3 linked regions of the Oryzias latipes genome follow. The main gene of each other region encodes a partner of the protein of the gene in region 2 in a complex. Links are inferred from orthologs where the notes say so. Each region holds a gene or a part of one and is shown on either strand. Other genes may lie near its edges. The genes, in order: taf11, taf5 and tada2b.

Evidence for each region.
Region 1: taf5 (region 2) and taf11 share a complex: the UniProt entries of both Homo sapiens proteins name them as parts of the TFIID basal transcription factor complex. The link is inferred for Oryzias latipes from reciprocal best matches to the Homo sapiens genes TAF5 and TAF11.
Region 3: taf5 (region 2) and tada2b share a complex: the UniProt entries of both Homo sapiens proteins name them as parts of the TFTC-HAT complex. The link is inferred for Oryzias latipes from reciprocal best matches to the Homo sapiens genes TAF5 and TADA2B.

Annotation. Positions count from the first base shown.
Region 1 is NC_019865.2:19,681,647-19,685,642, reverse strand, and holds taf11 (transcription initiation factor TFIID subunit 11), read right to left. Parts: upstream 2,802-3,996; 5' UTR 2,414-2,801; coding exon 2,240-2,413; intron 1,361-2,239; coding exon 1,230-1,360; intron 1,134-1,229; coding exon 1,046-1,133; intron 963-1,045; coding exon 866-962; intron 766-865; coding exon 635-765; 3' UTR 487-634; downstream 1-486. UniProt on the Homo sapiens protein: The TFIID basal transcription factor complex plays a major role in the initiation of RNA polymerase II (Pol II)-dependent transcription.
Region 2 is NC_019859.2:29,661,557-29,665,564, reverse strand, and holds the start of taf5 (transcription initiation factor TFIID subunit 5), read right to left. Parts: upstream 2,802-4,008; 5' UTR 2,658-2,801; coding exon 2,246-2,657; intron 1,333-2,245; coding exon 1,101-1,332; intron 1,026-1,100; coding exon 710-1,025; intron 634-709; coding exon 470-633; intron 1-469. UniProt on the Homo sapiens protein: The TFIID basal transcription factor complex plays a major role in the initiation of RNA polymerase II (Pol II)-dependent transcription.
Region 3 is NC_019876.2:26,805,274-26,809,521, reverse strand, and holds the start of tada2b (transcriptional adapter 2-beta), read left to right. Parts: upstream 1-1,447; 5' UTR 1,448-1,466; coding exon 1,467-1,820; intron 1,821-4,248. Other genes in the region: ccdc96 (coiled-coil domain-containing protein 96), read right to left, coding at 858-1,247. UniProt on the Homo sapiens protein: Coactivates PAX5-dependent transcription together with either SMARCA4 or GCN5L2.

The sequences.
Region 1 (3,996 bases), on a different chromosome or scaffold from region 2:
GGTTCTGTGAACCAAAATCAGTGTGCTGTAAAGATTTTAAGTGTAAAAAAATAAACTGTTGAACACAGTTTGATGTTGCTGTGTTTTTTTCTTTCCAGTAGAAAAGATTTGCTGTTCACCGAGTGAGTTTATACCAAAGAGGTAGTCAATGTTTCTGTGAGCACTTAAGTAATATCACATTGAAGACGTTTTATGTTCCAAAATAACAAAGCCAAACGTTTGATTTTCTCAAAATTGGGAAAGAGTTGATGAGCAAGGAAGAAACTTCCTTTTCAGACGGGGACTGAACCCAGATTTGACCGTAAACACAAGACCTAAAAAATATGACCAATTCAACAACAAAGTAAATGCTATAAGATCCTTTCATAATATCAAACCTTTTATAAACATGAACCTCTAATACACTAAGAAAACGTCTGAAATATCAATTTTGCTTATGTCCACATAGGATTTTTTTTTAAAATTAAAACCCAAATCGTACCAAAAAAAATTTGAGAGTAAAATCTTTATTTACACAAAAAAACTAGTCCTTGGAAAAAGAATGTCCGCCTGCCTCTGTGGCTGGAGTTTGACAAGAGGCTCTTGAGGCTGTTTTAATCACCTGCATCCTCATTTAACCCACAGGTCAACGGTCTCAGTGAAACAGAATGTGCTTATACTTTGTGTTGGGAATCTGATCTCTGCTCTTCAGCCTTCGGACGGCCTCCCTCATGTGCTTGGGCTGAAGCGGAGGCGTGTCCCCCCACTTCTCACAAACATCAAGCGCTGTGAATCGAAAAACAAAAGACGCAAAAATGTTAAGCTTCCAGGAAAATGGATAGAAGCTGCATAATACTAGAAACTATTTGTTGCCTTAAACACTCACCTTCCTCGACAATTTCTCCAGCAAAAACCTTGGCAATACCAGACATTGCTATGACCACATTCTGGGAAACTGACGATCCTGTGATTGACTGGATCAGCTGGAGGTCGACCAAAAAAGCCACAAGAATGACAGAAGAACGTTTTTGGGAGGAAAAAGAATTAGTTTTTGTAGACAGCTCACCCTCTTGATGGCCGCCTTGGGGAAGGCAGAGCGTCTGTACATTTCATAGCGATTTAGTTGCTCTTCAGAAAAAGAAGACACCAAAACTCTAAAAGAATCCAGGAAGAACAAGAAACGGGGTGAAATTAATAAAGATGACAGCACCATGGAATATTTCAGGAAAAAATAAAAACGGCAGTCTTACTGCATCTTTTGTATTTCATCTTCGTCAACTTTCTGCCTTTTCTCCTTTTTCTTATCCGGCTCCACCTTTAGCCTTTTTGCAGGAGGCTGACCGGAGGTTCCCTCTTCTTCATCATCTCCAGGTGCAGCTTCCTTTTCAGAAAAAAAACCCATCATGATTAAAGTCTTCTTACACTTTAATGGATTTCCCTTCCTAAATTTTTAGTACTTCTTCCCATTTTTAATGTTGTGTTTGTTCAATGCACAATTATTTAGAATACAATGTGAGGATGTAAGTGAAGCTCGTTACATGTAAGTTTGCTACACTCTAACATACCCAACAAAAGAAGACTTGGATTTAAAAAAAGCAATGGTAGACCAATGTGATCAAGTATGAAGGGTTTATTTTTCAACCAAATTTAGTCAATCAAAAGTTATTTTATAATTAAAAAATGAACTGCATGTCAAAGCTAAGAAAGAGTCAGTTTTATTTTGTATATACAATAAAAATAATACATAAGTTAAATACTTCCTCAATGAAAATATTTTGCTTGAACATTGTTAATAAATACTCAGGATTTTGTACATTTTTCTTCAGGCTTATCTAGTTATTTACCTTGGGTCCCAATTTAATTGTCTTGGAAATCAATGTTCAACCCCTTGAAGCCCATTAATTCAAATATGCATCAAACATATTTGACTCCAAAATTACTATAATGTTCTAAATGAAAATAAAGACATATTGTACCAAGTTCTTTTTCTCTGCACAAAACCAAAACACGAGTATCATATTTAAACAACCATTAATATTGTGGATTGTTTATTACATCAGTTTCCCCCCAATTTTTGATAACAGATTTGGTCCAGAATTGGTTGTATGTCTATGTCAAACTTCCATAGATCTATGCATTAGACTGTAACTTTCTCCTCAATTGTACTGCTAACAACCTAAATAATTCTCCACTCATCTAGATTTTGCTTAGATTTTTTTTCTTCCACAAAGGATTTTTGAACACAGTCATTTCTACTCACATGTTTCACCTCCCTTGTGGATGGATCTTGTGCGGACAACTCTTTCTTTTCGTCTGCAGATTCTTTTGCGATGGCTTCATTTTTTATGTTCGTCTCTTTACACGGCTCCCCTTTGGATGCTGCTGCCTTCTCAGACTTGTCTTCTGCCGGCTTTATCCGTGCAGGGTCTGCCATAACCTAAGTTTCTAAACAGCAGTCTGCAAACACCAACGAAGAAGCTATTACGAGACTTTAGTTTCAGCTGTGTAGCCGGCGTATTTGAATAAATTCTGGATGAAAACTGCGTATCTCATGCACGTTCCTCTACAGCTAGCTAGAGACGTCAACAACAAAGCCCTTTGCCGCAACACTAGCAGCTAATAGTTAGCTGTTATAGTGCACTAATGTAGTCTACGGTCCTTAAACGACACACACCGGTAATTATGTCAAAAAGAAAAAAGGTCTACATAAACAATGGATAAATAACTATAAGTACTACATAGAAAGGCAAAAAACTAAAGAAGATAAGCTAGCTTTCCTGGTAAACATCTACCATCGAATAATAGCCTAAAAAAACCCAAGTGCTTCCGTTTCCGTTTTGAATAAACTTTATTAACAAGGCGTTAAATGTTTCTTTTTTTATGTCAAAATGTGTTGAAGTTAGTACTGTCCATGAAAAATGTGTCAAATTGCTCTCTCTCTCTCTCTCTCTCTCTCTCTCTCTCTCTCTCTCTCTCTCTCTCTCTCTCTCTCTATATATATATATATGTATAAACTCAACACAAAATAGAAGAAAATTGCAAAAACGAAACCAAACTAGAATATTTTAAGACCAATAGAACATACAAAACATTGTTTTTTTACGCCACCTTGTCACGGTTAAAAAAAAACAAACTCTGTGCTAAAGTTACGCAGGAAATACAACAACAAATATTGTCAAGAAAATAATACTTACAATTATTACATTTTACATAATTGTAGCTGTTCATTTATCATTTACAATGCAACCTCTAACATAGTTTATCTTACTCGTGTGTCCCTGTAATTTTTTTTAACTCCACAAAATATTGCAATACATTAAAATAACAATGTGACAGGAAACATGATGTTTTTGATTTTGTATGGTCAGCTGAAAAAATAGTGAAGTGTTAAAAAAATTTTCTTTTTTAATAAATAGACATTTTCCAAAAATGTAAAGTAGTGAAAAGGTCGTATTTTCATTTGAACAAAAAATATTAGGTTACATATTTGTCTATTTCATTTAAATGTATTCATATATACACATTGCTATTTCTTTTCATTGAAAAGTAAGCGATTTGCACACTATCCGGTTAGAAAATTAGCTCTCGATTTTCAAACCAACTGGGGTAACGGAACAATAAAACAATCTCCAATGTCCTCATAGAATCCTGCCAAGCGCCATGTTGCTTTTCCCCGTCCATATGTTTTATTAATCTGCGAAGGGCGGCGGTGGTAGGGAATCTGAGTGTGTCTGACTGAAGAGCTTTGGATTGGAGATGCAGAAAGAAAGGGCAGTTTCAAGGAAGTGACGGACGACGCTTGGAGGACTGGTCAGAGGAAGTTTGCTCGGTGGTTGGTGCCGTGCTGCTGACTGAAACTTTTGCCCGTTGAGCGCCAGCAGCACCGGGGAGAGGGACAGAAGGAGCCGCTGGTTGGAGGGAGCTTTTGTTCCCTGCCGCATAGTAGCTCTCAGGAATAACTTGAGGTTGGGAGAAGAAGAAGAGGGTCACAGAGGAATTTTACTACAAGCAACCCCC
Region 2 (4,008 bases):
AAATGACTGCAAGAAAACTCTGGAAATCTAATAAGCACAAACGGATGTTTCAGAAATGTTTTCGGTTTAGGAGCTGTGACATCGTCCAGCCAGGACACGTGCACATGTGACAGACTGTCTACAGGGGAAACTCTGCAGGTGAACCAAACAAGCCCTCAGAGCTCAAAAGCCCCGCTTTCACTGATGTTTTCAGACTTTCTAAGCTCTGTCCTGTAACACCTGCCATTCAGACGGATTCCCGCCTCAACAGCAGCTTATTTGCCCCACCGTGAGCAGTAAGAGGGGGACGGAGCTGACGGGGCTTTTCTAGAAACTAAAGCCATCCAAACACAAACCAGAATAATCCAGAAGCAGATGAAACGTCCTGGGAAACGTTAAAGCTGCTCTCCCACAGAAAGAGGAAGAGCCTGCCTGTGGCGGAAGCTCCTGAAGATGCAGAAGCTCTGCTCTGCTGACCGCAGAACCTCACCTGTTCTGCAACGGAGCGTTGGGATCTTGCTTCTTGCTCTTGGAACCCATGCTGTCCTTCTTTGGCTTCTTCTTCTTCGGCTTGCCCTCTTCGTTCTCCGCCTCTTCATCTTCATCATCCAGGGGCACTTCAATCTCTGGTTCTTTCAGCAGCCCATAATAAACCTGCAGCCAGAACAGATGGCATTGTTCTCACGGGATTACAGAGGAACGTGCTAAATCTGTCGGGAACTTCCCTCACCTTGGCTTTGTTGGCCTCCCGCTTGGCCTCTCCTGCTAAGCTGCCTGACATGGCGTCTATCTGGCTCTTGCTGCGGGGCATGCCGTCGAAGATGTCGATGTACAGGTGCTCCTGGATGATGTTCCAGATCTGATTGTTCTGGCGCTCCTGCAGGTGCCTCTTCAGCAGCTGGTAGGAGTCACGGGAGATGCGCAGGACGAACTTGCTGGTGCGGAAGTCCAGCAGCGTCTCGTTGCCTCTCATGTGCTCTTTCTTGGTGAGGCTGGATAAAACCCGGAGGTCGTCTTCGTAGTAGCACTCCTGATCCCCGCTGAACCTGCGGACGAGGCCGTGACGAGAAGGCGCGCGGAGCAGGGCGTACTTTTTTAACGTAAACCTTAAAGGGACTTACTTTTCAAAGAAGGCCTTGGCTTCACTCTCATGATTGTTGTACACCAGCTCCAGGTACATGTGGACAAAGAGCGGGTAGAAGACCTGCGACAGCTCTGCCCGGTGGCAGTCCAACACCGACTCGATGAACTTCTTCAGGTCGCTGTAGTAAACTTTGTAGAGAGCCGGGTCTCCCTGCTGGCTGTAGGCTGACAGCACCACACTGACGTCGGGCTGATCGTCTGCGACTGCTGCTGAGAGAATCCAGAGGTGATGAACCCCCACCGCGAAGCAGCCCAGAAAGACTCACAGACCCTTCAACTATGGACCTGTTGCTGGATCTGCAGCTTACCTGGTTTCAACGGTAAAGCCAGGATGAACTCATCTAAACTGGGATTGAAATTGAAGGTGATGTCTAAGAATCAAACCCGTTTACCTGATAGCAACTCTGACATATTTCAGGAAAACGATCACCTGGTTTACAGTCCATTCTCAGGGTTTGTTGACATCATGTGTGCATAAAGACTTCAGGTTTTCTGGAATCTAATGAATCCCATCTATAGTCTCAAAGTTGGAGCTCTTCAATCTGCTAAATCTGCTTTTGCCATCTTCATTTATTTATCATTAAATAACAATGAGGCTTTGTCCTGTCTTCTGAGTAGCCACATCTCTGAATGTAAAAAACAGACAAAATCAAATGTGTGAAAATGCTGGAAGTTGTCAGATGACTGAGAAGTGTGAACCTTGTTAAAGCACTTCATCACAGGATATTCTGCTGTGTGTGTGATCCTGATCACCTCAATTGATCTGATTATTTGTGTGCAACACTAAACTGTATCAGGTCAGCTGTAGACCAAAACGAACAGTGACAGACACAAATATTTGTATAAAGTATTTAGACTTATTTATATTTATTACTTAAAAAGATTCATGGTTTTAGTTTGTGTTCTTGTTAATTTGGATTCTCAGTTTGACCACCTCTCTGCTTCCCCGGGACGTATGTTGCGATCAAGTTTTGTCCACATTTGTTTGTCAGTGTGTGTAATTTACGTTCTTTTTGCAGCTTCTAAACGTGTCTTTTCGATTCTTTTACAACTGTTGCGCGCGCTTTATGAGGAGCGAACAAAGTTCCGGTGGACGGGCTGAGTCCCGCTTGGAGCGTCATACCTTTGGTCGGCGCCGGAGTTCCAGCGGAGGAAGACACGGCCACCCGGCTGAGCAGAGAGCCCGCATCCAGGCCGTCCACGCCGCCAGCGGTGCCGCCCGAGCTGGGCGCACTGCAGTCCGCCCCCTTTGTGTCCAGCGCATCCTCGGGCAGTCCCGCCTCACGCCGCAGAATTTCAACGGACTCCGTCAGCTTGTTCTTTCTCAGGAACTGTAGAACCGCCAGCAGCGTCTGCTGGTCCTCCGGCGCCCCAGCCGCACTTTTGGTGCTCCCAGCCGAGCTGCTGGAGCTCGGGGACGGAGAGAGCTGTCGCCCGTCGGTCGCATTTGTGTTCATGAGCCCGTCGCTCTGCGGTTCGGTTTTTATGTCGACTTCTTCTTTCTCGTCGACCATTCCACCCTGCACGGCCGCCATTTTCAGAATGAAGTGCGCATGTGCGAGGTTGAAAAACGAGAAGAACTGACTGCGCAAGATAAGCAAATCTGATTGGTTCTCAGAGTGACATGTGTGTGAGAAGCCCGGCCCCCTCCTGGACGGCTCGTGCGGTTCCGGGTTTTTTTTTTGTCTTGTTTTTTTTTTTTTAAATAAACCTTTATTGACATTTTATCATTCAAACTGTGTCTATGATTTAGAAAAAAATCAAAACAATTTTTAAGGCCAAAATTGATAGAACTGTATATGATAAAAACTTGAGCAAATTTTTTTCTTCAAGACTACATTTTTTTAAGAAATACACAAAATGATACATCCATACAAGGAAACAAAATAAAATAAAATAGTGGTCTAGTTAGAAGTAATACATTTGAGGTCCTAAACGTTTTAATAATTTCCTACTTTTGTGCTCATGAGATCATCAGATGACACAGCCTTTGTTGAGCTGATATTACAATGTTGTTAATATTTTTTATTAAAATGGGTAAATTCCTCTGATCAAACTAGTTTTTTTTGTCTCTGTGATTGAAATTAACTTTAAATAATTATATAAAAGATTAAAGAATAAACAAACAAAAAAAAACGAATCAAAGCGAAAACATGAAAATCAAAGAAAGAAACAAATGGGGTAAAAAAGCAATCAAAGCAAAACTATTAAGATCCCAGGAAAAGTAAAAAAGAGAAAAAAGCGTTCAGATTAAGAACAAAAAGATCAACTGAAAATTTTAATCTAAGCAAGAATATAAAGATCAAAAGGGAAATTCAATCGGAAAAGATGGATCAAAGCAAAAACATAGAGCTCAAAGAGAGTCAACGGTTAAAAAAGCAATCAAAGCAAAACTAAACTAAACAGCTATCAAAGAAAAAACACAAAGATAAACGAAAAAAATACAAAAGGGATCAAAGTAAAAGCATAAAGATCAACAGAGAAAGATCAACGGATAATTCAAAGGGAAAAAAGCAATCAGAGCACAAACATAAAGAACAGAAAAACCAAAGAGAAGAAAGCAACAAGAGCATAAACAAAATAGTCAAATGAAAAGAGGGATAAAAGTGAAAACATAAAGATCAAATAAAAGTCAGAGGGAAATAAGCGATCAGAGCAAAAACCTTAAAATAAACGAAAAACTCAAAGGAAAAATGGGCATGTCTTCTTATCTGGGGATTTAATGCAAATAGCACTTTATGGGGGGGGAAGGTGACAGATGCTAATGGTGAGGTACTGGAGGACATGATGGATGATTTATACTTGGTCTGTCTCATTGATTGGGGAGGGACAAGGATAGATGAACAAACAGGGAACATGTCAGCACTAGATCTCACTTGTGTTTGG
Region 3 (4,248 bases), on a different chromosome or scaffold from region 2:
GGGAGGAAAAGCAAACGGTAACTTTAAATATATTTGGTTTTTTTTATAGATGTCATTTTGTACTGTTTTGTTATTTCATTCAAGTTTTTTTATTCTTTAGCAAAACCTGACAAAAAGAAAAGAAAAGACATTTGTTCCTTCTAGGAAGTGGAGGATTATGAAATTAGTGCATTTAATAAATTTAATGTTTTTCCAAGTAAAAATAATGTTTATAAAGAAACACATTTTATTTTACATTTAAGTTTTTAAAATTTTTATCAAAACATTTGGATTCTTGACATTGATGTTGTCTAAAAGTGGATCAGTGAGGAGGTTGTCCGACATTTTACCCTATGGGTTCGGATTTTTAAAGAAAAAATGAATAAAAATGCAGCAGAGGGCACCATGCTGTTGTTCCCCTGGGGCCCCCAAGTCCTCAACTGAGTAAACAGGTGGATATTTTAAACATGGAACCACATTTCTAAAGTTATTTACATTTAGAAATGTGGTTACATAAAAAAAAGTCATATAAACAGAACTGAAGTTAAAATGACATTTTTTTTGCACATTAACTCATCTTTGGCTGTTTTAGAATCAATATTTTCTAAAAATAAATAAATGAGAGACTTTCTTTAACCTTTATAACACTTTTAGTTTTTTTTTTAAACATAACATCAGAAAAACTCCTATTTTACTGAAACACATTTGACATTTGACAAAATGGGATATAAATAATATTCATCCAGACAAAACTGTTGAAAAATCTGACGTTTTAATATCTACATTTGTACCTGCACTACACTCTTTTTTTTGTAAACTCCCAAACTATTGACTTCCTGTCAGAAGTTGCAGGAGTGCAGTTTCAAGCAGACACCAACCTTTTCCAGCTTCTCCTGAAGCTGTGAGCTCAGCTCCTCGGCCTGCAGGTGAGCGGACTCTGAGTCCGCCGTGACCTGCTGCTTCAGGGCGCTCAGGGTCCGGATGCAGACCTCGTACTCGTACCGGTCCCTGGGCAGGTCTGGGCTCCTCCTCAGCTTGGCGTTTGCTTCTGCAGCTTTGCAGACGTATCTTGCCAGCTTCCTCTGCAGCTGTCTACTTCTCTGGGAGAGGTCCTCGTTCTCCTTCTCCAGCTCCTGGAGGACTCGCTGTGCCTCTGGGCTGTCGTCCCTCCCTGCAGCGGGTTTGAACCCGGTTTGAACCTCACTCCTGCTGCTGTTTGTGACGTCACGTGTTTTATCAGAAACCTCTTCCATGACCTTCCTGCTCATCAGGTCCCCTTGTGATGTTGATGCTTCAGCTGGAAACCTTATTTTCCTCTTCTTTACCTTTTTTTTCTTCCTTCACCATATTTATGTTTAATAATATTCTTCCATTTGGGTTTAAACCGCTGGAAAAATGTAAATATTCTAAAGAAACTGCTAACTGGTGAGAAAAAAGCTCGCTTTGAGTTTAGTTTGCGTTGTCTTGGAAACTGGGGCAAAGAGCCAATGACGGGCCGCGCGCCGCACGCTTCAATGTGCGCAGGCGCGAGGTTCCGCCTCCAACAAACAAGAAGCAGGAGCCCAGCCAAGATGGCCGACCTGGGGAAAAAGTACTGCGTTAACTGCCTCGCCGATGTCACCAACCTGCGGCTCCGGTGCACCGAGTGCACCGATATCGACCTGTGCCCGGAGTGCTTCTCGGCGGGAGCAGAGATCGGTAACCACCGGAGGTGGCACGGCTACCAGCAGGTCGACGGCGGGCGCTTTTCGATCTGGGGTCCCGAAGCGGAGGGAGGATGGACCAGCAGGGAAGAGCAGTCGCTGCTCGATGCCATCGAGCAGTACGGCTTCGGAAACTGGGTACATCATCACTGACATCATCTGTTTAGAGCTTTTTTCCTCATAAACTCCTCCGGGTTTGGTGGATAAGTTGATAAACTTTGTGTCTCTACAGTTTGACGGTAATAGTTTAAACTTAACAGAGAAGTGTCGGTTTTTTTTTGGAAAGTAGCAGGACTGTGACTGACAGGTGAGACGTTCACCTGGCAGACCGAACCCCCGGAACCACGGAGGGAAACGTTTCATTCTAGGGTTCAGAGCCTTAAAACGGCTCCAACCAGCTGACAGCCTTCACTTTGTGACTTAAACCACATGAATTCTTTAGGTTAGATTCAGTATTTTTGGCAGAATCCGTTCATTTTAAATGAAACTTCCTCCAGTTGTCTTTGTAAAAGCAGATTCATGAACCCTTTTCACTAATGTTGGGACCACAAGACACCCAGAGACCAAATCTGGTGGCCACAGATCTGGTAGAGCTTTCAATTCTGAACACCGAAATAACAACGTCTTAACGATAACATTTTTGGATAGAACAATTGGAGAACTTTGTCATCACAGGTACAAATATCAACGTTTGTGTTTTGTCTTCTAGAAACATCTTCCCATCAAATTATCACAGGACATTATTCAGGTGCTTTGGCGATTATTGATACGTTTTTCTTGATCGATCAAATAATGTTATTACGGGCTTTATTTCTGCCAGGTGGTACTTTTGGGGGACTTGTATCACTCGGTAGCTTTCACGAAGCTGTGAAGTTGATCCAAAGACGTAAGATGCTGTTGGCTCCCAAATGTCCGGATAAGTCCCCCTGTTCCTGGTTCCGAATTCTAATCTAAAGTATCAGCACTGCGACGCACACATACTATCACTGTGTGAACGGCACGTGCAGTGACAACCGTTACGGTCCGTAACTAAAGTCAAACGTTTCATCCATTTTTTGAACCCAATCAACCCCTTTTTGTGGTCACAGGGTTGCTGGAGCCTATCCCAGCTGCTGTTAGGCAAAGGCAGAGCGCAATCATTGACTCTTCATGAGAGCTGAGTGAGTGTGACTTCATCCATGGAAAGCGACTTAATTCTGACTTCAGCTAAATTAAGGCAATTCAGTCGCCATTTTTACGCAATATGGAAGTCGCCATGTTGGAGCCAGACGTTGTCAGTCAACAGTGATTGGTCCAAGTTGGTCTGAGTCAACATTCCGATGGCAACCGCTCTCACCAATCAGGAGTGAGCTTGTTGGAAGTCCACACCCCTTCCACTGAAAGCCGGAGAATCTTTCTTTTCATTTTTATTTTTTAAGGCATCTGATTGGTTAGTTTATTACTTGAATAAATTACACTACAGAAAAAATTAGGATGATCAAAAGTATGTTTAAAAAAAAGTATCAGAGCAAGAATGTTGATTCTGACCAATAGAATGACAGAGTAACGGCTGTTTGTTTCTCAGTAGAAGTCTATGGGATTTTGGCTTCTTGGAACCAGCAGCTACTTTCTATTTATGCTTTGAAAATACAGTGGGGCATTTAGTCATCCACCAATTGTGCAAGTTCTCCCTCTTAAGTAAGTAGATGAGTGTATGAGGGACAAGATGAGAACAAAAATGCAGAAAATCACATATTTGGTCGATAACAAAAGTTCAACTCAGTACTTTGTTATATACCCTTTGTTGGCAATGACAGCAGTCAAACGTTTCCTGTAAGTCTTCACAGGATTTTCACAAACTGTTGCTGCTATTTTGGCCCATTCCTCCATGCAGATCTCCACTAGAGCCATGATGTTTTGGGGCTGTCGCTGGGCAACACGGACTTTCAACTCCCCCTAAAGATTTTCTATGGGGTTGAGTTGTTGAGACTGACTAGGCCACTCCAGGACCTTGAAATCCTTCTTATGAAACCACTCCTTCGTTTGTTTGGGATCAATGTCATGCAGAAAGACCCAGCCCCATTTCATCTTCAATGCCCAACTGCTGGAAGGAGGTTTTCACTCAAAATCTGACGATGCACCGCCCCAGTCATTCTTTCCCTTACATGGATCAGTCGTCCTGGTCCCTTTGCTGAAAATCAGCCCCAAAGTATGATGCTTCCACCCCCATGCTTATGGTGTTCTGTGGATTCAACTCAGCATTCTTTCTCCTCCAAACATGACGAGTAGAGTTCTTAACAAAAAGTTCTATTTTGGTTTTATCTGACCATAGGACATTCTCCCAATCCTCTTCTGGATCATCCAGATGCTCTCTAGCTAACTTTAGACGGGCCTGCACATGTACTGGCTTTAGCAGCGGGACACGTCTGGCACTGCAGGGTTTGAGTCCCTGGTGGCGTCGTGTGTTACTGATGGTAGTCTTTGTTACTTTGGTCCCAGCTCTCTGCAGGTCGTTCACTAGGTCCCCCGTGTGGTTCTGGGGTTTTTGCTCAGCGTTCTTGTGATCATTCTGATCCACGGAGTGAGA